Rattus norvegicus: one gene and its partner. The protein of the gene in region 1 interacts with the protein of each later gene in a biochemical or structural test. Links are inferred from orthologs where the notes say so. Each region holds a gene or a part of one and is shown on either strand. Other genes may lie near its edges.

Region 1 (11,148 bases):
GTTGAGGGCCTTAAATCCAAGGCTTTATGTACTATCCAGACACTCTACCAAGTGAGCTACAACTTTAGCCATGAGCTCAGCTCCTTGAAAGGCAAGTGAGGAGGGAGAACCTTCACTCAGGTTTAAGGTAGGACTGAGACTCTGGGGAACCTCTCTACACCTTCTGGCTAGATGTGCACATAAGGATGCACCAATACCAGCACTGTTAAGTCTGAAGGTACTATCACATGTGAAAGAACTGAAGCTTAAATGGTAGGTGGCAGTGCACACCTCTAATCCCAGCACTTGGGAAGCAGGGGCAGGTGGATCTCTGTGAGTTCTAGACTACCGAGTCAGAGGACAGTTAGCACCACACAGAGAAACCCTGTCTCAACTACCCCCACTCCTCCCTCAAAAGAAGTGAAGCTTAAAAAAAAACAAAACAAAACAAAGCTAGGACTCAGGTCCTCAATTTCCTTTTGTACAAGTCAACAGTGAAGGTCTCCAAGGCAGCAATTACTCAGTTCTCTGCTTTAAGAGGGAGAGTCCGCTCACGGTCCTGGGCGGCTGAAGGTGCGCACACCCATTTGCTGCGAAGCTCCTGTGAAGCCAGACCATGGATCTTCCAGGGAACTGCAACTAGGACAAACCTGGATCCAAACCATGGCTCTGCTATTTACTAGTAGTTAGTAACCTTGTAACTTGACTTCCTGACAGAGAACACTACGATGGTGACAGAGCAAATCTCACAGCTGTGATGATGCAGGGGAATGACTGGACAGAGGCTTGTCACTTGGAACTTATTGAATGAGGACCTCAGATGTAAAATTCACCCACAACTTAGTTTTACACAAGTCAGCCAGTGCCAGCAGGGTGGACCATGAAGTCAGTCCTAGCATTACTACCGCTAATGGAGGGCAGATCTTCCTACAAAGTTAGTTCCAGGTTAGCCAAAGTTACATAGCAAGACCTTGTCTCAAAACTAAACAAAATGAGACAAACAATGTCCTGAGCTCAACTCTTAGCACCATATAGACCTTCCATGGTGATGCGACTCTGGACTCGCAGCACTGTGGAGGCACGGGGAGACCAGAGATGTTCAAGATAATCCTTGGCTATGCTTTGAATCTGAAGCCAGTCTGAGCTAAATGAGATCTTGTCAAAAAATATAAAAAGATAATAAATTTAAAATGTAAAAGTTAGCTAAAAAAAGTTCAAAACAGAAAGATGAAAAGTGTTGGGCTGCGGAGATGGCTCAGTGGTTAAGAGCACCCGACTGCTCTCCCAGAGGTCCTGAGTTCAATTCCCAGCAACCACATGGTGGCTCACAACCATCTGTAATGGGATCTGATGCCCTCTTCTGGCACGTAGGCAGAACATATTAAATAAATAAATGTTTAAAAAAAAGAGAGGAAAAAAGTGTTGAAGTCAAAACGGTAGACAGTGTCTTGGCCATGAGTACAGCATACACCTAACATATTCCCCAGGAATCTGCCACTTCCTTGCCCCCAGAGTCTGTTCATTTGCCAAAACTACCTGGGCACAAACCTGGCTACCTAGAGCTGTACTCTTCTGGACAGATAGTCCAACTCTCCCAGTCCTGTCCTCACAGACAGCAACAGGCTCTTTGGAGGAAGACGGGCCCTGCACCCAGGACTGCTCGGCATCCCCTCTCTTACCAGAAGACCTCGTTGCACCGATTGCACTGCACTCGGCGAGCTCTCGGCTCCTGTACCCGAATAACCATGGGGCAGTCTGCACCAGGGCACAGCTGGAGCTGGTAATGACTCTGTAAACACAGCGAAGGAAATGATGAAGCGATCGGCTAACGGTTGCACCTCAGACGGACTGCTCAAGTGCCTCTGTACTCCAACTGATGGCTTACATCAAAGGGCTAAACATGTTTAGGGTAGATGTTGTGAAAAATAGATATTAACTAATTATTACAGAGAATATTTCTTTAGCTTAAAACAAGGAGCTGGGTTGATGATTTAGCTCAGTGGTAGAGCGCTTGCCTAGCAAGCGCAAGGCCCTGGGTTCGGTCCCCAGCTCCAAAAAAAAACAAAAAAAAAAAAAAAAAAACCAAAAAAACAAGGAGCTACTAACTCCTTGTTATTTTATAAGTGTGCCTGTAGGCTGGAAAAGACATGTTTGTCTATAGCTCCGGATACTTAGCTACTTGGAAAACTAAGGCAGGAGAACTGCTTGAGCCCAGAGAGTTTAATCAAGGAGATCTGGGTCAACCAGGGAGAAGAGGTCTCAGGAAGAACATGTTTGGATGTGGGTTGGATGGTAACACAGTTCCGTTACCCGTGCATCTGACAGCTCAAGGACTCAGAGACGCTCAATAATCTATCCATGGTAACAAATTATACAAAGCAAAAGGCCTTGTGTTTATCCTGCATTTCTGCAAGACAACGACCAATCCAATAGCTTTTAAACGAAGTCATAACAAAGGTGGAAATTGCACTGTGTAGAATCTGCAAAACTGGGCAGGTGGCCTAAAACAGAACCAACCATGCTGGTATCCTGAAGAAGTTTTCAAATTGTTAAAACCCAAACAAAACAGCCCTTCTCTGGGCTGAATTGTACTGAAAAACAAATGGAGTAGCAACCCTTGAGCTAGGTCTGACCTGTGCTCACCCCTGAACCAAGATGGCTTGCTCAGCTTGCTCAGTTGTCTGTGTCTGCTGGACGACAGGGATGCCTGTCCACTCACGGCAGTGGAAACCAAGATTCAGGTAAACTAACGAGCAAGTGGTCTCACAACGAGGAAGCAACAGATCTTGGATTCACACAGCATTTTTTCAGAGCACAAGGTCTTTATCACAGTTTTTTAAATTAAATTATGTGTCTAGTATAGGGATGAGGAGGTATGTGTGGATGCATGCAGGTGCCTAGAAAGGCCAGAAGAAGGTGTCGAGATCCCCTGTGGCTGGAGTTACAGACACAGGACACGAGTACTGAGAACTAACAAGATCCTTCCTCTTCAAGACTCTAAAGTACTGAGCCTTTTCTCCAGCCCCAAGAGCTATGTGATTTACCACCAGCTGGGACTATACTGCATATGGTAGCCTCAGGAAGAGAGAGGGCAAAAGAACAGGGCCATTCATACCTCCACATAGTCCCTAAAGAGGTAGCGCCTGTATTTATCTCTCAACTCTTCGTTGGGAAGCAAGGGAAACACAAAGTCCTCTGGTGTTCGAAGCGGACAATCCTGAGCCATACATGAGATTCCTGTTGAACAAAGATAAAAGTGATGGCGGCCATACTGTCTTCTACACCCCCTTTACAGTACAATATACTTATCCTCCATGTTCCACCAACAAATTCTAATTCCATATAGGAAATTCTCTGTTCAAAATAGTTATCAAAGCTAGCACCTTTAATCCCAGAGGCAGGTTAATCTCTGTGAGCCGGCCTGGTCTACAAAGTGAGTCCATGATAGGCATGGCTGTTACACAGAGAAACAGTGCCTCAAAAAACTACAAAACAAGAAAAAACAAGAACTTATGCAAAGAGAGAAATTAACATGTTTTCATAATAATGTAATTACGATAGATATTGGGCTCAATTACCCAAATATCATTATAAGCACCACTAAATAAAATTAAAATGTTAGAGGTAGTGGCTCATGTCTCTAACCCCAGCACTGGGGAAGCAGAGGCAGAGTTTAAGGAGAGCCTGGTTTACATGAGATCCAGGTCAGCCAACGCTACATGGGGAGTCCTGTCTTAAACAACAACAACAACAACAAATTATAGACTTAGTGATTAATACGACTAATGATTTTGTTTTATTATGTACATGAAATTATTACTAGTATACTCATATTTTGGTGTTTCCTTTTGTTGGAGGGGAAGCAGAATACTACTATTTCATATAGTCCAAACTAGCCTTAAGCTTGCCATGTAGCTGAAGGAGGCCTTGAACTCCTGATGCTTCTGCTTCTACCTCCAAATGTTGAGCTAACAGTGTGCCACCTTGCCTAGGTTAATGTCCTGAGATTCTGCAGATAGCAACGAACATTGCTCTTAGTATTATCAAGTGAGGGGCAACAAATACTCCTGCACCACATAATCAAATCTGATAAAGGTTACATTGCCCCAAAGCAGTAGCTGGAATCAAGGCATGGTAGGCAGCTAAAGGACAGCTCCCTCAGCATCCTACCCTCCTCACCCCCTTACAGTTAGGAGCTTCTTTTTATGAGGTCTCGGCTGCCCTGGAACTGAATCTGTAGACCAGGCTGGTCTCCAATTCAGAAATCAGCCTGTCTGATTATTGGGGATTAAAGGTGTGCACCACCAATGATTAACAAAGGATGGTTCTCGTAAAAATGACATAAAATCATTTTGTACCCACACCAATATTTCTAAAACCTTTAATTTTCTCATTTTACTGGAGACTACAGAAAACTGTATTATTTAGATCTGTTAATCTTACAAGAAATGTTTACTTAAGTATATGAAAACAGACTGAAAGACAAATATTTTAAGGCTGGAGAGATGGCTTGGCAGTTAAGAGCACTGGTTGCTCTAACAGAGGACTGGGTTTATGCCCAGCACCACATGGTGGTCACTGTCACCTATCACTTAGTCCCAGGGACCCTATGCTCTCCTCTGACCTCTGCAGGCACTAAACACACATGGTATACACAGAGTTACATGCAGACAAAATACTTAATACATTATATGCATAAAATCGAATAAATAAATAAATGTTTTTCAAAAGACCTTTTTTGTGAGAGCTATATTTATTTTCAGTGCAGACTCACCTACACCGACACCATCTTTGACGAGGACTGAGCAATGTTGCTCCCAACAGCTTCGGCAAAACTGATGCTGGCAGGTCAGAGAGAGCAGGTTTTCCTTCCGCACAAACTGCATACACACTGCACAGTGGTGAGGGGGGTGGGCTGTGGGGACCTGGAGTGGGAGGGGAAGAGCAGGAAAAGGAGAACAAACACCACATAAGGTTCCCAAAAGCTGAACTGTAAAGGTCCTCACAGTCCACACTACAGTTTGCCAAGGGCAGTGGTTTTCCCACAAAAACATGCTCAAATCACAAAACAGATTAGCTATGAGGGTTTTCTGTCTTTGTTAAAGAGCTGAGTTAGGTTCCCAATACACATATGGCAGCCCGCCCGTACCCATCTGCAATCGCAGATCCAGGGGTTCTAATGTTTTCTGCTGGCCTCATACACACTAGGCATCCATGTAGTACTACACATGCATTCTCATAAGACAAACATTCATGCCTTTAATCACAGCACTCAGAAAGCAAAGGCAGGCCCAGCAGATCTGAGTTTCAAGCAAAGCCTTGTGTATATGTTAAATAAAAAACAAAAAAAAAAAAAAATTGGGGGTGGGGATTAGGAGCAAACTAAGGATTGTGGACATTCTATACAGCACCAAACAAGGCTGGTGCTGACACTGTGAGTCACAGAGAAAGCCATGAACACTCAAATACAGCTAGCCGCTCACTCTAGTTGGAGACACTCACGTGTTTGGATGGATTAGGTTGAACTCGCGCCTCAACAAGCAGCTGAGCAGAATTAGACCTGTACCTGGAAAACAAAAGGCAAAACAGAGAATCACATTGGAAGACATTTTTAACTTTCAATGACAGAACAGATCATCAGGTGTTGTGGTTACATCAAAGTGTATTTTACCTTGTCAGCATAATGGTATGTGTCTACAACCCTAGCACTCAGCAAATGTGAGGCCATAGCATGTTTGAGGTTTTCTCTGATAGTTTCTTTATTGAACCAAATTTCCTTTAACTCAATACATTCTTTTCTTTGGAAGCTGGGCAGAGGCAAGAGGTTGGAGACAGGGTCTTTACTTTGCAGCCCTGGCTATTCTGCAACGCTCACAGATCTGTCTGTCTCTGCCTTTTGAGTACGAGATTGGAGGGGTATGCCACAATGCTCACTTGCTCCGTTTGGTTTTTAACATTTATCTTATATGTATGAAAATGTTGCTTGCACGTATGTTTATATACAATCTGCATGTCTGGTGCCAAGCAGGCCAGGAGAGGGCACTGAAGTCTTTGAGACTAGAGTTATATGTAGCTACATACAGTTACATGTAGCTACATACAGTTACATGTAGTTGCCAGGTGGTGCTAGGGAACTGGATCTGAGTCCTCAACAAGAGCACTAAGGACTCTTAACCACTGAACACATCTCCAGCCCTCAAAACCGTTTTCTGAGAGAGAAGGTAGCTAAGGAGAGAGTATAAAATGCAGACACGCTAAATAGGAAGCAGAATGTGTACAGCATAATTTTGTTTATAAAGTTGTGAAATCATACAAATAGAAGATACTTAATTTTTAAAAAGAGATTTATTTTATGTATGTGAGTTCACTGTTGATCTCTTCAGACACACCAGAAGAAAGACATTGGATGCCATTACAGGGGGTTGTGAGCCACTGCGTAACTGGTTGCTGGGAATTCAGGACTTTTGGGAATTCAGGACTTTTGGGAGAATGGGACTGAGCCATCTCAAGTCCCCCAGAAGATACATAATTTAAGAGTAAAATAAGAAGCATGGGATAAGCAAAGAGCTCACTTAGCAGAGTGTCTGCGTCATGCACAAGGTGTGATGCCCTGCACTGCATGAACCTTGTGGCACATGTATGCACATGTATGCACAAGAGGAGGAGACAGGAGGACCTACCATGCCCATTTGAAGCTATTCCTGGTCTGTCAGAGACCTGAGGAAGCCACTGCTACTGACACGTAGTAGGTAAAGCCCAGAGGAGCTGCCAGATTTCCTATAGTTTACATAGTAGCACCACATCACCAAAGAATTGTCCACTCCAGCCAAGTCTCATGGCATAGATCTGTATTCCCAGCTACTTCAGATACAGCAGCAGGCAGATCCCAACAGGGTACCTAGACAACTTAGCAAAATCATATTTCAAAATAAGGGGTAAACTGGGGCTGGGGGTGTGGCTCAGTGGGCAAGCGCTTGCTTAGTCCATCGAAGTGTTAAAGGCAGGTACCCACACCCAACCATTTCTCAACTTTTTTGGTGTTATGGGGAATGGTCTATTCCACACAAACACAGAAGATTAAACGTAAATCTGCTGCCAAACAACAGAGGTTTAAAAAGTATGAAGACACCTGTATAGTAACAAATACTATCCCAGCATTAAAACTGAAATAGAAGAGTATGCTGAGAGGTAAGAGAATATAATATGCTCAAAGAAAAGGATATAAAATATCCCTTTGAGCAATTGTGTGTGCATGAGAACACACCCCACAATGTCAAGAACAATCACAGTGGGTTGGGCAGACACTGACGGATGCTATGGACTCATCTTTCCACTGAACATCTTGCCTATGTCCAGGATATATGCTGGCTAGTTTTTATGTTAATTTAACAAAAGCCAGAAGTCACCTGAGAGGGGGAACCTTGACTGAGAAAATGCTTCCCTAAGATCAGGCTATAGGCTGCTACTATGGTAATATAATCTTTTGATCTCAGGGCTTAGAGGTAGAGACAGGCACATCTCCTTGAGTTCAAGGCCAGCCTGGTCTACACAGAAAATTCAAGGACAGTCAGAGCTAGATAATGGTTGTCAAAAAAAAAAAAAAAAAAAGATTTTGGAGGCTCAAGCAGTTAAGAGTACTGACTGTTCTTCCAGAGGACCTGAGTTCAATTCCCAGCAACCACACAGGCTATAACAGGGATATGGCTCAGTGGGAAATCACTTGCTTAGTCCATCGAAAGTGTGGACATAAATCTTAAAAACAAAACAAAAAGTCCAAAAGATCAGACTGTAGCAGCCTGGAGGGTATTTTCTTTTTTTTTTCTTTTTTCTTTTTTTTCGGAGCTGGGGACCGAACCCAGGGCCTTGTGCTCGCTAGGCAAGCGCTCTTCCGCAGAGCTAAATCCCCAACCCCTGGAGGAGGTTATTTTCTTAATCAGTGACTGATGGGGTGGGACACAGCCCACTGTGGGTGGTGACTCTCCTGGGCTTCAAGAAACCAGGCTGAGTAAAATCACAGTGGACAGGCAGAGAAGGATGCTATAGGCAATTTCACCTCCTTTCCCCTGAATATCTTACCTGTCCAGAATCTCTGAGACTTGCCAGTGGAAATTAACTAATATAAGCTTTGCAACTGAATGAGATACCTGTAAGAAACAACAACAAAAAACCAACAAACTTTAAGTGTGGTCTCTCACAGTGTTCTATCATTTGAGAAATCACCACTATGCTAGTTTCACATTCTTTTCTTTCATTGTATGTTTTTGTCTTTTAAGTTAAATTTCTTATATTAGTTATTTTATACATCTCTTGATCTTTGTTTTCATTCATGTTTTCTTAGAAACTCTCCCTGGAAACTGAAGCAAAACCATCCTTCTCTGTAGTAATTAAAAATGTGATATCCAACGTTAAGCAAAAGAGCTTCCCAGCTGGGCTCCTGAATGTGAGTAAAGTTCTCAAACACTGCTCTACAAGGCCACACCCACAGAGTGCTTCTAGATAGGGCCAGCAGCATATCTCCAGGCATTTGATTTATATTCTGTCAACAACAAAATGAATTTAAGGTCAGATGTGGTAGCATATAATTTTAATCTCAGCAGGCAAACCTCTTCTGAGTTCAAGACAGAGTCTGAAAACCAAGTTTCAGGCAGCCGGGGGTACAGTGAGACCCTGAGCTATCTGCATGCACAAAGCCAAAAATGCCTTTTATCTCAGGAGACGGAGACAGGCAAATTTCTGCTGTACACAGACAGTGCCAGGCCCTGTACACAGTGAGACTCTAAATTACAGTCAGTTTATTGTTTTTAAGACAGAGTTTCTCGGGGCTGGGGATTTAGCTCAGTGGTAGAGCGCTTACCTAGGAAGCGCAAGGCCCTGGGTTCGATCCCCAGCTCCGAAAAAAAGAACCAAAAAAAAAAAAAAAAAAAAAAAAAAAAAAAAAAAAAAAGACAGAGTTTCTCTATGTAGCTAGACCCGGTTGTCCTGAAACTCGTTCTATAGACCAGGCTGGCCTCAAACTCAGAGACTGCCTATATCTGCCTCCTAAAGACTGAGATTAAAGGCATGGACCACCACACTTACCTTAAAAAACAGTTTTAAACGTCCAAATTCACAAAATTCAACAAGTCTTAATTGCTAAACATTTAAAGGGTTGTAGACTGTTTTCTGGTCTTTACACATGGCTCTGACTATTAAAGAGCCTCAAAAGATGACAAAAAGTTAATGTAAATTCTTCCTAAGGAAATGAGAGGATACATGTACCACTAGGTTATTAAGATATTAAAAATAACGTATATGCCCAAGAAAAGTGAGCCTGATAAATATGTAACAGATTCATGCAATGAACAGCAATGAACTTATTGAAAAGAATGCTACAGTTATGGATATAAAACAGGTTTACTTTGGGGGGATAGTCTCATATAACCTAGGCTGACCTCAAACTTGCTTTATAGCTACCAATGATCTTTAACTTCTAATCCTCCTGCTTTCACTTCCTCAACTCTGGGATCACAGATGTGTGCCACCATGTCCAGTTTATGCTCAGAGCTTTGTACATAACGGTCAAGCTCAACCAACTGAGCTTCAGAGAAGCTTACATTTCAGTATTAGGTTAAAGAAGAAAGTAGCAATAAAGCATTCGATTCATAGGGGCCATGATATCTTATTACATGGAAAATAAATTAGTTGAAAACATCTTAAGCATCAAGACTAGGGTGGGAGCCAAAAGGTTGGGGTGTGTTTGGAGGCCTAGATCAGGCAGGCTTCCCAGAGAAAGCAGAGGACAGCATGAGGATGCCACTGAGAATACGAAAGGCCAGTAGATACCTCAGGATGCAGACACTGCTCTGATCTGGCGCTGAGTCTACAAACAGCAGCTACCTGTACCGTAGTGCCTACCTGGTTCCCAGAAAACTTTAACAGGAAGACAATTACCAACATGTAATCCCCAGCTCTGGGGTACAAGCCATCCCTGAGACTAAATAATGCATATCCTAGCGTGACGTCATTATCAAAGGCCGTTCAATTAGCGACTGCCTTCCTTCCTGTCCCACAGGCCAAATACATCTGGAGAAATCCAGGGAAAATCTCACACGGGGCAGAAGTTCTGACTACCTTCCATGAAAGATGAAGACCACATATGCTGCTAAACAATTTTCTTACTGAGGCCCACGGAGACTTAAGGCAAAGGTCCCTAAATCACGAATAGTAATGTCTTTTAACTGTTGCCATAATTCATCTCAACAGATTAAGTAATAAACCAGTTATTTTCTTTAAATTTTAGCAGATGCATAAATACAGCTATTTATTGATTGACTGATAAGGTCTTTTTGGCAGAGAACTTTCTATGTAGAGCAGGCTGGTTTAGACATCCACCTGCCTCTGCCCTCGGAGTACTTGCACTAAAGATGTGTGCCACCATGCTGGATTTTTTTTCCCCTTAGAAGCTCTCAGTATGGAGCTATGTGTAGTTCATGCTGGTTCAAGCTTGTGGTCCTTTTTGCCTTGGCCACCATGTGCTAGGATTATAGTGTGTTCCATAATGTTGACTCTACAAATACTTTTATTTTTAATGCATATGAGTTTGTATGTGTTAGGTTTGAGGGAGTGCAGGTACCACAGTGCACAGTGGTGCTAGCGGACAACGTTGTAGAAGTACATCCTTCTCCTGGCTGGAGCCTTGTCTTTGCTGTCTGATGCACTCAGTCTCCCTTGTGCCCATCCTGTCCTTCCTTTCTTCTTTCAGCCCTTTTGTTTATTTCTTTTTGAGATAGGCTGTAACTACATAGAGCACTCCGCTTTAGCCTCCTGAGTGTTGAAGACTGATGTGCAACCTCACTGGGCCACACCAACTGCTTCTTACTCTTTTTTTTCTTCTTTTCTTTTCTTTTCTTTTCTTTTTTTTTTTGCTAGTAGCCAAAGATGGGCCACCATACCCAGCTGTTCTGATTTCTATGTATCTTATAGTAGGCCTGGGCCCCATAAACACATTAAAATCACTACAGATGATTTAGGTGGAATCTTTAAGCTAAGAACAGGGGTCAGGGCTGCCCTCCTCAATTCCATAAAGCCCACACAATTGGTTTAGAAATAGATCTCCATTCCATGATGGTGACTAGTTACTATTTCACTACCCACTCAGAGGTGACATGATGACCTCAGGTGTCAGTCCCA
Region 2 (11,880 bases), on another chromosome or scaffold:
GAAGGCTCTGGGGGTTTGTCCATACATAATAATCTGTGTGGGATCTCAGTGCAAGCTGTTTTATAACCCGTGCTTGCTTTCTCAGCCTGTCTTCACAGCACTGAGTGTGAAATTTGCTTGCATGAAGTAGGAGGGGTGGGGTTGGCCAAACTCGCTCGCACTCTCTGTCTCTCTCTGTCTCTCTGTCTCCCCCCACCCCCCCAAGTAAATGGTCCTGACCAGTTCTTTCCTTCTCTAAGCAGTTGTATTTCCTTGTTTTTGGATAGTGGTCTTCCAGGGTCAGCATCTAGAAATTCTACCCGCCCCAGGGTGAAGAGGGCTGGGGTTTTTATTAGTATGGTAGGTTGGTGTCTTGGAGGACAGAATACCCACCTCTATCATTGGACCACCCCAATGTTGGTAGCTCCAAGGTGAAACCCTCCTTTGGCTGCTCCTGGTAAGAAATCAGACTTAGTGTGGTCAGACTGTCCCAGGGAGATTTGCCTCCACCCCCACTCCCAATGAGCACAGCTCCTTCCTCTCTGTGCCCACCACAAAAGCCAAGCTCAACACACTCATTTGAATCTCAGATCCAAAGACAGAGCAGGGCCGTCTGGACTTCTTCCATAAGAAGAAAAGTTGGTATTCCAAGAATGAACTTAACAGGCCTGAGGCAGTTATAAGAAGACAGGCAGGAACCCTCACCATTACAGGGGTCCCATGTCCTGCCTCCTGTCATCAGGTCTTTTGATGTGTAACAGCAGATGGAGGGTTTAGGGTGTACTGTACCTACTGTCCCTCTCTTGTCCTTCCCTGTCAGAGACTCACTTCCCTTTTTTATGGAGATAGTTCTAAAGCTCCCCCTCCCCCGTTTTTCAAGACAGGGTTTTTCTTTGAAGTTCTGTTCTGTCCTGGAACTTGCTCTATAGCTCAGGCTGGCCTTGAGCTCAGAGCTCTGCCTTCCTAAAGGCATATGCTCGCACTGCCCAGCTGAAGGACTACTTTTTGCCACCAGACTGAAGTCTACAAGTGTGGCTGGCAGAACCCCACTGACTGGAAGACAAAGCTGAGGGAACGGTCTCATCCATACCCCTGTCTCGCGGGGCCCCAGATCTCCCTGACAGAAGTGCTAGCTGCAAACCTGTTAGGACATGTGAGGAGACTGAAGACAGAAGAGAGTGCTATCCCAGGACACTAAGAGATGCAGAGATCGGGGTTGGGGATTTAGTTCAGTGGTAGAGCGCTTGCCTAGGAAGCGCAAGGCCCTGGGTTCGGTCCCCAGCTCCGAAAAAAAAAAACAAACAAACAAACAAAAAAAAAAGAGATGCAGAGATCCCTGACCCCTCTCTGTCCTTCTAGGGAGCCTGTCCTATATAGCCCAGTCCACCCAGTGAGATGCGTTCTGACAGCGTTCTACAGGTAAGTCCTCACTCGAGTTTCCCCAACCTAGACACCACCTAGATGAGCCCATAACTGGAGTCTGCCCTTTGAAGCAACACCAGGACACACCTCTGTAGCCCACAGCTCAGTGCTGCCTCCCCATCTACTGGGTCTGGGTATCAAGTCTGGGGCGATCATCCGTGAAGCCTGTGGTGTGCCTGACCAGCAGGGGGCAGCACAAGACTGTTTTCTTGGAAGACTCACTGTGGGGGCGGGGAACTGCAGTTCCAGCCCCTGGTTGACGTTTTTCCCTTTCTCAGCTTTCAAATGTGGGCCAGATCTTTTCATGAGGCCCAACCAGGATAAGCCACCATGAAAAGCAGCCAAGCCTTTGTGCCCAGGCCCCCTGATGTGAGCCTTGGAATGTCTCCCCTTTGACCTGTTCAGACAGGTCACAGCAAAGCCCCTCCAACTACTGTCCTGTCTCCTAGATGACGTGGCACAGAAGCTAGAAGTGGAAGCAAAAGCTTGTCTCCTCCCAACCACCAGGGCCCCAGAGAGGAAGCTGCAAGAGAGGGACGGGTGGTTCTGAAAAGCTCTTGTCTGGATGGGGCTGGAGAGCTGGGCTGAGGGATCAGGAGGAGGCACCTCAACCTGGGGTTGGAAGCTGGAGGAAGTAGGGAGAGAATTATTTAAGAACTGGAGTAAGTGTTGAAGCCTGGAGGGGAAGGAAGTGAAGAGATAGAACTTTAGATATTCAGGCTGCCAGGAATGCGGCAGAAAGAAACTGGGGAAGATGTCAAGTTGCTGACTCCCTTTAGCTGGCTGGAGCTAAGGAAATACTAGGCTCCACCCTGCAAGTACAAATGTCCTTAGATGTTCAGGCTGCACTCAAGTCTCCCTCCCTCTGCCCTGTATCTTAAGACTCATGTTTCATCTGCTAGGTGAAGTGACAGGCCAGGAAGGACGGATGGACACACACACACACACACACACACACACACACACACACACACACACACACGACTGTCTCTAAGAAAGGAGAAGCAACACTCAGACATAGGGCAGGCCAAACCCTAATTTATTTCAGTGTCTGCAACAGCTTAGCCATCAGAAAAATAAACTCTACCCAGGGCGACAGAAGTCTCTACAGCGAGGCTAAGGGCTCAGCCGCCAGGCGGCAAACATCAAGGATGCATGGCGGGCACTGCCCGGGTAATAAGTTAGGAAGCGGCAGCCTGGTGGTGGCTAGGGCCAGGCTTCACTTCTGGGCAGGCATGAGGTCGTCAATGGGCTGACCCTGCTCAAGCCGCTGCTCCATCTCAATGAGTAGCTTCACTCCGTCCACCACCATCTGCACCAGCTCCACCTCCGAGAAGCCCAGGCGGTCAGCGTTGGAGACATCAAAAACTCCACCCACAGCAGCGGTGTCCACACCACCTGGGGATGGGAGACAGGCAGGTCAGCAGGGCTGGGGAAAGCCGCGTTTGCTGCTTCACCTGAGTCGTCTGCCCCTCACCTGTGCCTCGCTTCTGAAGCCGCAGTCGCTTGAGCACCTCCGAGAACTTCTCGTGCTTTCCCAGGTGGGGCAGCTTGATGTGCACGCCTGCCCGAAGCCCAGTGCCCAGGTTGGATGGGCACGTGAGGATGTAGCCCAGGTGAGGGTTCCACATGAACTCATAGTTCTTAGACTTGAAGAGAGTTTCAATCTGAAGGTGAAGGGAAAGTTAAGGGAAAATGTAGCTGGAAGCCCCAAGCACCCTGGGAAATGTGGACTCAAATCCCCCCGACCCCCTCCCTCCTTAGCACCAGGCCAGACCTGAGTGAGGCCAGTGCAGAATCGCGTGAAAACTTCCTTCATGTTGCCCCCTTTCTGCATGGAGATAACCCGCAGGTGGTCCTCCTCGTTGATCCACACCAGGAACGTCTTATTGTCATTGTGCCTGGAGGAGGGGGTCGGGCAGACCAAAGTCAAAGTCTACAGCCTTAGTTAGGTCACACCCAGCAGGACGCCCTAGGTGGGTGACCTCCAAAGCGCTTTCCAAGTGCAGGAGTGTGGGCTGTCTCTAAGACGCCCACCCAGCAACACTCGAAGGCAGGGAGACCAGGGCACCTCAATCACCAGTCATGTGCTGCGTGGCCCGCAAGGGGCTGGAGCAGCCAGAGCAGCCCACCAGAGGAAGCACGCCTCCGCCCGCGCAGTCTGCAGGGGTAGGAGCCCTGCCCGGACGGGTGCGGAGGCTTTTGCGTCACTGGCACCTGGCAGAATCCCGGCGGAATAAGGGGGTGAGAAGGAGGAGAGAAAACAAGAAGCGCCGGCTCCCAGGAGGAGGGCGGAGAACAGACGCCAAAGAAACTGGTCACCACCCTTGAATCCCTGGAGACTGCGGCCTCCCGCGGCGCAGGGACCTCAGTCATCCGCAGAACCAAGGTCACCTGCGCACAGTGTGGTAACGCACAATCTACGAATTCAGGCCGTGCCCCACCTTCCGGGGACTGTGAGGGAAGAGGGCTCGTACCAAATGCCGCGAGCATCCGGCCAGTCGCGGGCCATGCCGGAGGCCAGCAGCAGAGGCGACACAGGCTTGTCGAAGAGGAAGTGGTCGTCAATGAGCTGCTGCTGCTCCGCCTCGGTCATGCTCTTGAGCGCATAGTACCTGCCAGACAGGTCGCCATCTAGGCTGGACAGGGCTGCGGAGTACAGAGTTCAAGGACCCGGTGGGTGGGTGGGCGAGCTAGAAAGCTCGCCACCCCGCCCGCGGCAGTGTCCCCGCTGTCTTAGTTGGGTCTTCCACCCTCAGACCCCTGGGGGAATGCGCGCGCGCCCAGACAAGAACGCAGCAGCTCTGGTGGCTGATACCGGACCCTACCTTCTACTGCCAGCTTCTCGATGGCGCGGCGCTCCCCACGGCTGCAGTGAGGGGGGAGGCAGAAGCCGCGGATGCTTCGGCCTGTGCGCACCCGCGAGCTCAGCACGTAGTTGGGGTCCAGGTCATCGCCGCCCTAGGGATGCAAGGCAGTGGCCGGAGTGAGCGCCGAGACCCCCTCTCCCCAGCACGCCCGGACCCTGACGCCCCGCACCTGCAGGTTGTCTGGGTTGAGGTCAGTCTTGTGCTCATCACTGGGCTGGTAGCCGCCGTGCCGGTCCTCGATGATGGGGTCGAAAAGGTCCTTGAATACGTCGTAACTCTCCTCGTCGCCCGCCACTGCACCCACTGTCATGATGTACGGGTGGCCTGGAGGAGGGGCGCGGCGACAGTGACGTCAGCGCCAAGCTAGAGCAAGGCACTGAGGCCCTTATGGCTAAGCGCAGAGAGGACCAGGAGACCCCACCCCGCCGAGGGTTCAGGGAAGAGCAGTGGGATCCTTGCCCGGGGGGCTTGTTGGGGAGACGAAAGCCTGACGCTACAAGGGTGTGCATACCCGGATTGTCTACGCCAGTCTGGATGGCGTCGTCCAACGTAAAGCCGCTCGGCGTGCACTTGGCACGGAGCTCCGCGTACAGCTCGGGGGTCAGCACCTTGGCCATATGGTTGTTGTGGCTGCTCAGATCAGGGAATTCATCCTCGGCCGGGAAGCGCAGCTTCTGCGTGTTGTGGCTGTTGGAGAAGGGCATGGCGGCGGCGGCGGCGGCAGGCTGCGGGGAAGAGCGGGGTCAGAGGAGCTTTACACACCGGTCTCCAGAGACCTGCAGACCAATCCGGACCCCCGAAGCTTTCCTCGGACGTCACCAAGGTCAGCGAGGTCTGCATCTTTTGAGTCCGGCGCATCCCAAGTTCCCCGGCGGGTCCGGGACGCGCTCCGGGCAACGAGCTGCGCGTGATGCACCCAACCGCGTAGCGCCCCTCAGGACTAGCCCCTCACCCTCCGACCCGCTCACCGGGATTCCGGACGGAGCAGGAACGCAGACTGCTTGTGCTTGCAGCTCCGGGCGCAGCGCAGAAGAACGACGGCCGCTCGCTGCTCCCTGAGCTCTTAAGGGGCGCGTCGCCGGCCTCCCATTGGCGGCTATTTATAGCCCATTCATTCCATTGGCCCGCGCTTTGGGGTGGTGCCGCCGCTTTGTCCGAGGCAACAACCCTCGACACCCCCAGCGGCCCACCCCATGGGTCCCCAAGTCTCGACCCCGCTGCGCAGTTTGGTCAACCCCGTGGCGCTCGCTCAGGATCTCGAAGACGAAATCCCAGGACCGTAGATACCCTAGACCTGCTTCACACACACTGCCTCGGGGCAGGAAACTGAGTCTGGAAAGCCAGTTAGCACTTGAGGTTCCTGCCTTCCCTGCTTCCTGCCTTGTCAGGCCGACAGCAGTGTTGAGGGGGTCATGGCAAGAGATACCAGGTTTTTAGCATGGGGTACGGCTTCCATCCACTGCATCCAGGCGGTACAAAACGGTACAGGGGAGCTGACCTTCCTCAAGGTGCCTGCGGGCATCTCCTGGGTGTTCTTGGTGCAACACCAGAGGCGCAGTCTGGCTGCGGTCCCGCCCGGAAGCACCCAGGGTGTTCTGACCTTGGGCGGGCCCTAAGGAACCTAGCCAAGACCCTTGGACCCGGACCCTGAAAAATTCAAGACACTGAGCTCCTAGAGACTGTTTTTGAATCTTCAAATCCCCAGGTTCTTTCCTGAGGGACCGGTTTCTACCACCCCACCTACAAAGACAGTACCTACGGCAGGCAAACTGGGGGTGGAGGAAGCACCAGTCAAAAATAAGCTCATTAATCAGATCCACCAGATTGAAAGAGTCTCTTTCCCCCACCCCGTGTCCCACACACGCAGGTACGGGGAAACCTGGAATTTGACCACAGCCAGTGCCGGCTGTGAATTGGAATGTGTGAACACAGGCGTTCACACCCTGCCTCCAGCTGCCAGCAGTTTCATCTTCTCTGGAAAGTAGTTTAGCAGTACTTATTAAAATTTTTAAAATTGTTCCATGACCTAGCAATCTCACTTCTAGGAATCCAGCCTATAGAAAGACGGCGTCCCTTCTCTACGAATAGATCAGGAACCGTGCAGAGGGAGAGAAAGACACGCTTGGATTAGACCTTGATGCTCATGAGGGGATGGCCATAGGTAGAAAAGTGTACAGACGCAAACAGAGGTGAGGCCGGGCATGCTGGCATACCCCTTCAATCCCAGGCAGAGGCAGGAGGATCTCTATGAGTTTGAGGCCAACCTGGTGTACAAAGAGAATCCAGGACAGCCAGGCCTCTGTTCCAGAGAAACGTTGTCTCAAAAAAAAAATCAATATCTATACTTTCCTGTTTATTGTCTACTCACAGCCTCTCAGCCATTTCTGGGTTTGTGTGTTAGACAGAATATCTTCAGTCGTTTGTCTTTGACAGGCTCTATAGTCCTGGACCTCACCATGTAGACCCTACAGGCCTCAGAGATCTGCCTGCCTCTCCTTACCCAATTCTGGACTTAAAGACGTGGTCCACCCTGCCCTGAGGGATTGCAGTTCAAAGCCTAGCTTCAGAGAACTGAGAGCACACTTAAGCCCCAGAGGAAAAGAAGCTGAAGACACCTTTTGGGGGAGGCTGCTCCTCCTGCACCTCCAGCCACACGTGAGGGACTGGATGGAATAAAGATGGATGGAAGTGCCCAAGAGGCTTAGGGACCTGCCTTTCTGTGGAAGCAGGCTGCCCTGAGCAAACAGAGAGGCATGACTAGAATTCAAGGCTTCGAGAGAATGTGCCGGTGCCTGGGTAGAGTGGCAGAGTAAAGAACTCAGGGCAGAAAGCCTGCCTGCCTGCCTCTGCCTGGGTGAGCATGAAAAGCCACCACTGTTCTGTCCCCAGAGCTCCTGCAGAGCTCCTGTCTCTTGCTCAGCTTGGTCTACTGTGTTTTGAGACAAGAGTCCATAGACCAGGCTCTTCCCGTCTCAGCATCCTAAGTTCTGATATTATAGGATGGAGCCACCATGCCCAGGTCAAGTCACTTTTTTGTAGGCCAATGAAACCTCACAATAAGAAGGTATTCCAGGAGTCTGGAAGACGAGGCAGATGTGTATCTGGGCATTTAAAGCTGGCCTAGCCTACATAGTGAATTCTGGGGCATCCAGGGATACATAGAGAAACCTTGTCTCAAAAAGAAAAGGGGGGGGGGGGAAGGAAGATTAGGAATTCAAGACCAGCCTGGGCTCCCTGAGCTCTTGTCTCTGGCTAGACCACAGGTGTACCATCAGCCTGTGTGTGCTATGCTCCCAGCAGCCCCTCCCCATCTCAGAAATAATCTGCAGCTGCCCACCCAGTCCCTACCCTGCTCAGGGAAGCTGGCTCTGCTTGAGCCCTAGTTCTCAAGTTTCTGTTTGTAGAAATGGGAAGCGAACTTGTTATCTAGGCTGGGGGTGGGGAAGGGGAGTTTGGGGCTTCCTCTTTGCCTCCAGGATTTACAGCTTCTTAGCTCTTTCTCCTTCCTTACCCCTTCCCATCTCCGTGCCAGGGCAAGACCAGGATTCTAGGTGAGGTGAGGAACAGAAGGTAGGACTGGCAGGGGTGCCTATCCCAGCAGTAAGCCACACCCAGCACAGGAACAGGCTCTTGTGACCTTTGTCCTATGCCCCACTCTACTTCAGATACACAAAGGAAGACACACAAAGAAGTGCTGGCTCAGAAGTCCAGATATCCCCCAGTGGTCCCAGGGTGACTACGCTTGGGACATTGTGCAGATTCAGAGAGCAGAGTATATGACAGCTACAGTAGAGGTGACAGCAGAGTAGGGAGGTAAAGGGGCCTTTCACAGTCTTTAGATCACAATATGAACGTGAGGCCCCCACTGAGGTGTTGCTTGGAAGTCCTGGTGGCCTTCAGAGCAAGGGAGCAAGCTGAGGGTCTGCTGACCCAGCTGCGTTCCTGACTGTGGACCTGCTGCTAACCTTAGAACTCAGTAGCTGGTCTGGCAGTTTCCAGGCAAGAAGCTGGATGACATCATCCCTCAGATTTACGGTCCTATCTCCTTCGAAATCACACCAAGTCATACATTAACCACAGAGCAGGAAAGGGCCTCAAAGGAGTCCTAGGTTTTTTTATTCATAGAGCATGGTCCAGTTCCGCAGGGCAAGTGGAGAAACAGGTCTCTGGGCTCCAGGTTCCCCAGAGGCCATCCATAGTCCGTCAGTCTGTGCCCAGGGTACAGCTCTTCCTCTCTGCTCCCTTGCTCATGGAACACAAAGGGGAAGTTGGCAGGGGTTAGAAGAGAGGTGGCGGCTGCAGGACCCAGTGCCGCAGGGCTGTGCCAGTCAAAGGGGCCTCTTGGCAGCCTAGGCCCTGACAGAGGTGCAGGTGGAGCAGCCTACCCAAAAGGCGCAGCTTCTTTTCCTCTGGAACTGCCTCTGTTCTTGCTCAAGTGTCTTATCAATTCTCTGAAACTAGGCTTTGAACTGCAATCTCTCAGGCCAGGGTGGACCACACCTTTAAACACAGTATTTGGTAAGCGGAGGCAGGCAGATCTCTTGAGTCTGAGACCAGCATGATCTACACAGTGAGTTCTAGACCAGCCAAGGCTATATAGGGAGACTGTCTCAAAGGCAAAATTCAGTCCTGCTTAAACCATGTTGTCTGTATGATGCTAGACAAATTGACCTTCTGTTCCCCGTCTGTAAAGAGGTCATAAAATTGTGGGGTGGAAGGGTTCAGTGACATGAGAGTTGGCTGACTGCTGATAGCATCTGTTTTTATTAGGACAAGTCAGTGTATAAACTGCCCATGGAAATCTCCCCACCCCCACCTCAGCAGCTAGGGTCTTAAGGAGGCTGGCTCTGCTAGAAGACTCCAGGCTGAGCTGAGGCATGACAGATGGATAGCTCTGAGAAGGTGGACTACAGAAGGTACGCAGGAAGGACTGGGAAGCCAGCAGTGGGTAACTGGAACCAAGGGAAACCCCCCTGGTTGAACTCATAGGTTTGGTGGGGATGTACTAAGGCCTGGTCTCCATGCCACCGAGAAGCTGGGGAAGAGGAACCTCAGGAGGAGTGGAAAGTCTTAACTCTCCAGAGGAGCAATTAGGATGTGTCTTGGGCTGTGCACCACCAAGGGAATGAAGTACCCTGTTAGGGATAGGGGTTGTGCAGCCGTGGATACAGCTGGATGTCTCAGGTAAAAGTTTAACTTCACAGAATGGGTGACCAAGAAAACCCCTCATTGCCTGTTCTTCCAGGGCTATTCTGTTAAGGTCAGCCAGGGCCGAAATCTGAGGTCTGGAGTCAGGCACCTGAGTTTCTAGGGCAAGGACCTTACAACACTACTACAGCTTGTCCTATCCGCTTGGCTTCCAGCAGCCCCTCTCCCAGGGCACTAGTGAGTCCACTTCATAGGCTTCATATACTCTCAAGATGTCAGGGATCCTAGGAGGGGACGTTATGCCCCCTTCCCCTCACGCAGGACCTAGCCTTAGGCCACTTTTGCAGAATACTCCAGACTAACGCTACTTCTACACTCGGGCCAGCCCTAGCCAAAGTCTTTGCCTAGACCCCCCCGTCCCTTTGCCCTGCGGTCCCACTTTCTAGCATTTATCCTGGAGCCCAGGCAGGGTGTTTCAGAGCCGTTTGCAAAGACAAAATGTCATGGTGGGCCATAGTAGGGAGGCCCTGGGGTTGCATAGTTGTCAAAGTGCGCTTTAGGGTCAGGCGTATCCCGCGGGCAGAAGCTTCGTGCACTGGGCAACCCTAAAAGGCCGCACGCGGACAAGCTGCTGGCGAACAGGGGACTTTTATTTTGCACAGTGCTCGGGTTTCTCGGGCAACGCGCAAGTGTGCACACAAGAACACAGCCGCGGAGACGCCAGCCAGGAAACGTCCTTTGGGAGCGCGCAAAGGACAGCGCGGCGGCTCCCAGCAACCCGTGCGCTGGTTTGACGTCATCAAAGAGCACCGGAAGTGCGGCGGCCGCGGCGGAGACACGTGTAGATCGGAGAGCCGGTTTATGCTGCGTAAGTTTCCGAGCTTGGAGCGGCGCTCCGGGCTTGCTAGCAAGTCCAGTGTTGTTCGGCCGGAAGCCAGCCGTCGCTGCTATCGGGAGCCCTCCGTGGAGACTCTGGGCAAGGGGTTACAGGGAATCCGGACTCGGAGGTGGCTTCTCCCCCGTGCTAGTGCCTGTCAGAGGCCGTCGCCTTCACACTGGGGGATGGAGAAAAGACTATATTCTAGTCCTTCCTGTGTGGGAATCCTTGGGTTTCTGCCACTGCGCACTCTTTCTTGTGTCCTCTGAAAACAGAGCTCTCCAGAAGGGCTCCATATGTTAGACTAGAGTGCACTTCTGTTGGGTTGCCTAAGCAAGTTAACTAAGCTAACGCTGCTCAGAACCCAGGCCCCACAGACCTCTCTATCCAGACCACAGATCTTCATCCTGCCTCCTGGTCCTCTGACCTGACGCCCACACACCACTTCTCCAGGTCCCTGATTCTTGGCAAATGTTAACACCATGAGTTTCGTGGCATACGAGGAGCTGATCAAGGAAGGCGACACAGCCATCCTGTCACTGGGCCATGGCTCGATGGTGGCAGTGCGTGTGCAGCGTGGGGCACAGACCCAGACCCGGCATGGCGTCCTGCGGCACTCAGTGGACCTCATTGGGCGTCCATTTGGCTCCAAGGTGACTTGCAGCAGAGGCGGCTGGGTGTATGTGCTGCACCCTACTCCCGAGCTCTGGACGGTGAACCTGCCCCACCGCACACAGATCCTCTACTCTACCGACATTGCCTTAATCACCATGATGCTGGAGCTGCGGCCCGGTTCTGTGGTCTGTGAATCAGGTGAGCTCCTCTGGTGTCTTCAGAGCTGAGCACATACATGAAAGTAGGAGTCAGACCCACAGTTAGGACAGTTTGCAGCCAGCCCTTCTTGCAGGGGTGTGTTGAACTACATGGTTTTTATTCTAGCTTTTACTTAGCAACTCCACTTGCTAGGGAGGGTGTGACTGCAGGGGGTGAAGACAGAAACAGCACCTGCTGCTGTCTCTGAAATGGCAGCTGGTAGGAGCTAACCTGGGTTGGGGAAGAAAGAAGAGGAGATGGTGGTGGTGCCCTATGAGGATCCGAGCAGGCTCGTTTGATGCTGGCCAAGGTGCTGACTGCTTATCTCTAGGTCAGCTGCCCCTTCCTGGAGCGGGGCTGGTTACTCCAGAGCTCATTTGTCACAGCCAGGCCCTCCCCTAATCCATTGAGCGTTAGCAGTGTCACTGATACAAGGCCAGGAGGTGGCTAGAAGTGTCTGAACTAGCCGTCTCTCACGTATTCACCCTTAGGTACTGTGGTGCAGCAGTATCAGCACGCACCTCTGCCAAGAATGACCCCGGCATCAGATGTGGCTAGATCCTTGGTGGTGTGCTTCTTGTGGGCTAAGATGCTGGGGTCCAGAGTCACAAGAGCTCCCATTCTCTCTGTTGCCGGCTTTCTGGGGCCTTATCGTTCTTTCCCTCTGAAGCAAGACAGCGGAGAGCAAAATTAGAGTCAGCTCTAACAGCTCTCCTTTTATACCTCTAATTAGGCCTTTGCCCTGTTTCAGTCAACACAGGGAGTCCTACA

Evidence for each region.
Region 2: of the proteins of Arih2 (region 1) and Ckb, one has a biochemical effect on the other in vitro, tested with the Homo sapiens proteins (2 studies listed by BioGRID). The link is inferred for Rattus norvegicus from reciprocal best matches to the Homo sapiens genes ARIH2 and CKB.

Annotation. Positions count from the first base shown.
Region 1 is NC_086026.1:118,184,861-118,196,008, forward strand, and holds part of Arih2 (E3 ubiquitin-protein ligase ARIH2), read right to left. Parts: intron 8,124-11,148; coding exon 8,056-8,123; intron 5,546-8,055; coding exon 5,482-5,545; intron 4,905-5,481; coding exon 4,754-4,904; intron 3,217-4,753; coding exon 3,095-3,216; intron 1,769-3,094; coding exon 1,659-1,768; intron 1-1,658.
Region 2 is NC_086024.1:136,548,164-136,560,043, forward strand, and holds Ckb (creatine kinase B-type), read right to left. Parts: upstream 5,302-11,880; 5' UTR 5,240-5,301; intron 4,997-5,239; 5' UTR 4,976-4,996; coding exon 4,783-4,975; intron 4,596-4,782; coding exon 4,441-4,595; intron 4,363-4,440; coding exon 4,230-4,362; intron 4,051-4,229; coding exon 3,879-4,050; intron 3,303-3,878; coding exon 3,179-3,302; intron 3,069-3,178; coding exon 2,879-3,068; intron 2,800-2,878; coding exon 2,621-2,799; 3' UTR 2,420-2,620; downstream 1-2,419. Other genes in the region: tRNA (adenine(58)-N(1))-methyltransferase catalytic subunit TRMT61A, read left to right, coding at 10,779-11,109. UniProt on the Homo sapiens protein: Reversibly catalyzes the transfer of phosphate between ATP and various phosphogens (e.g. creatine phosphate).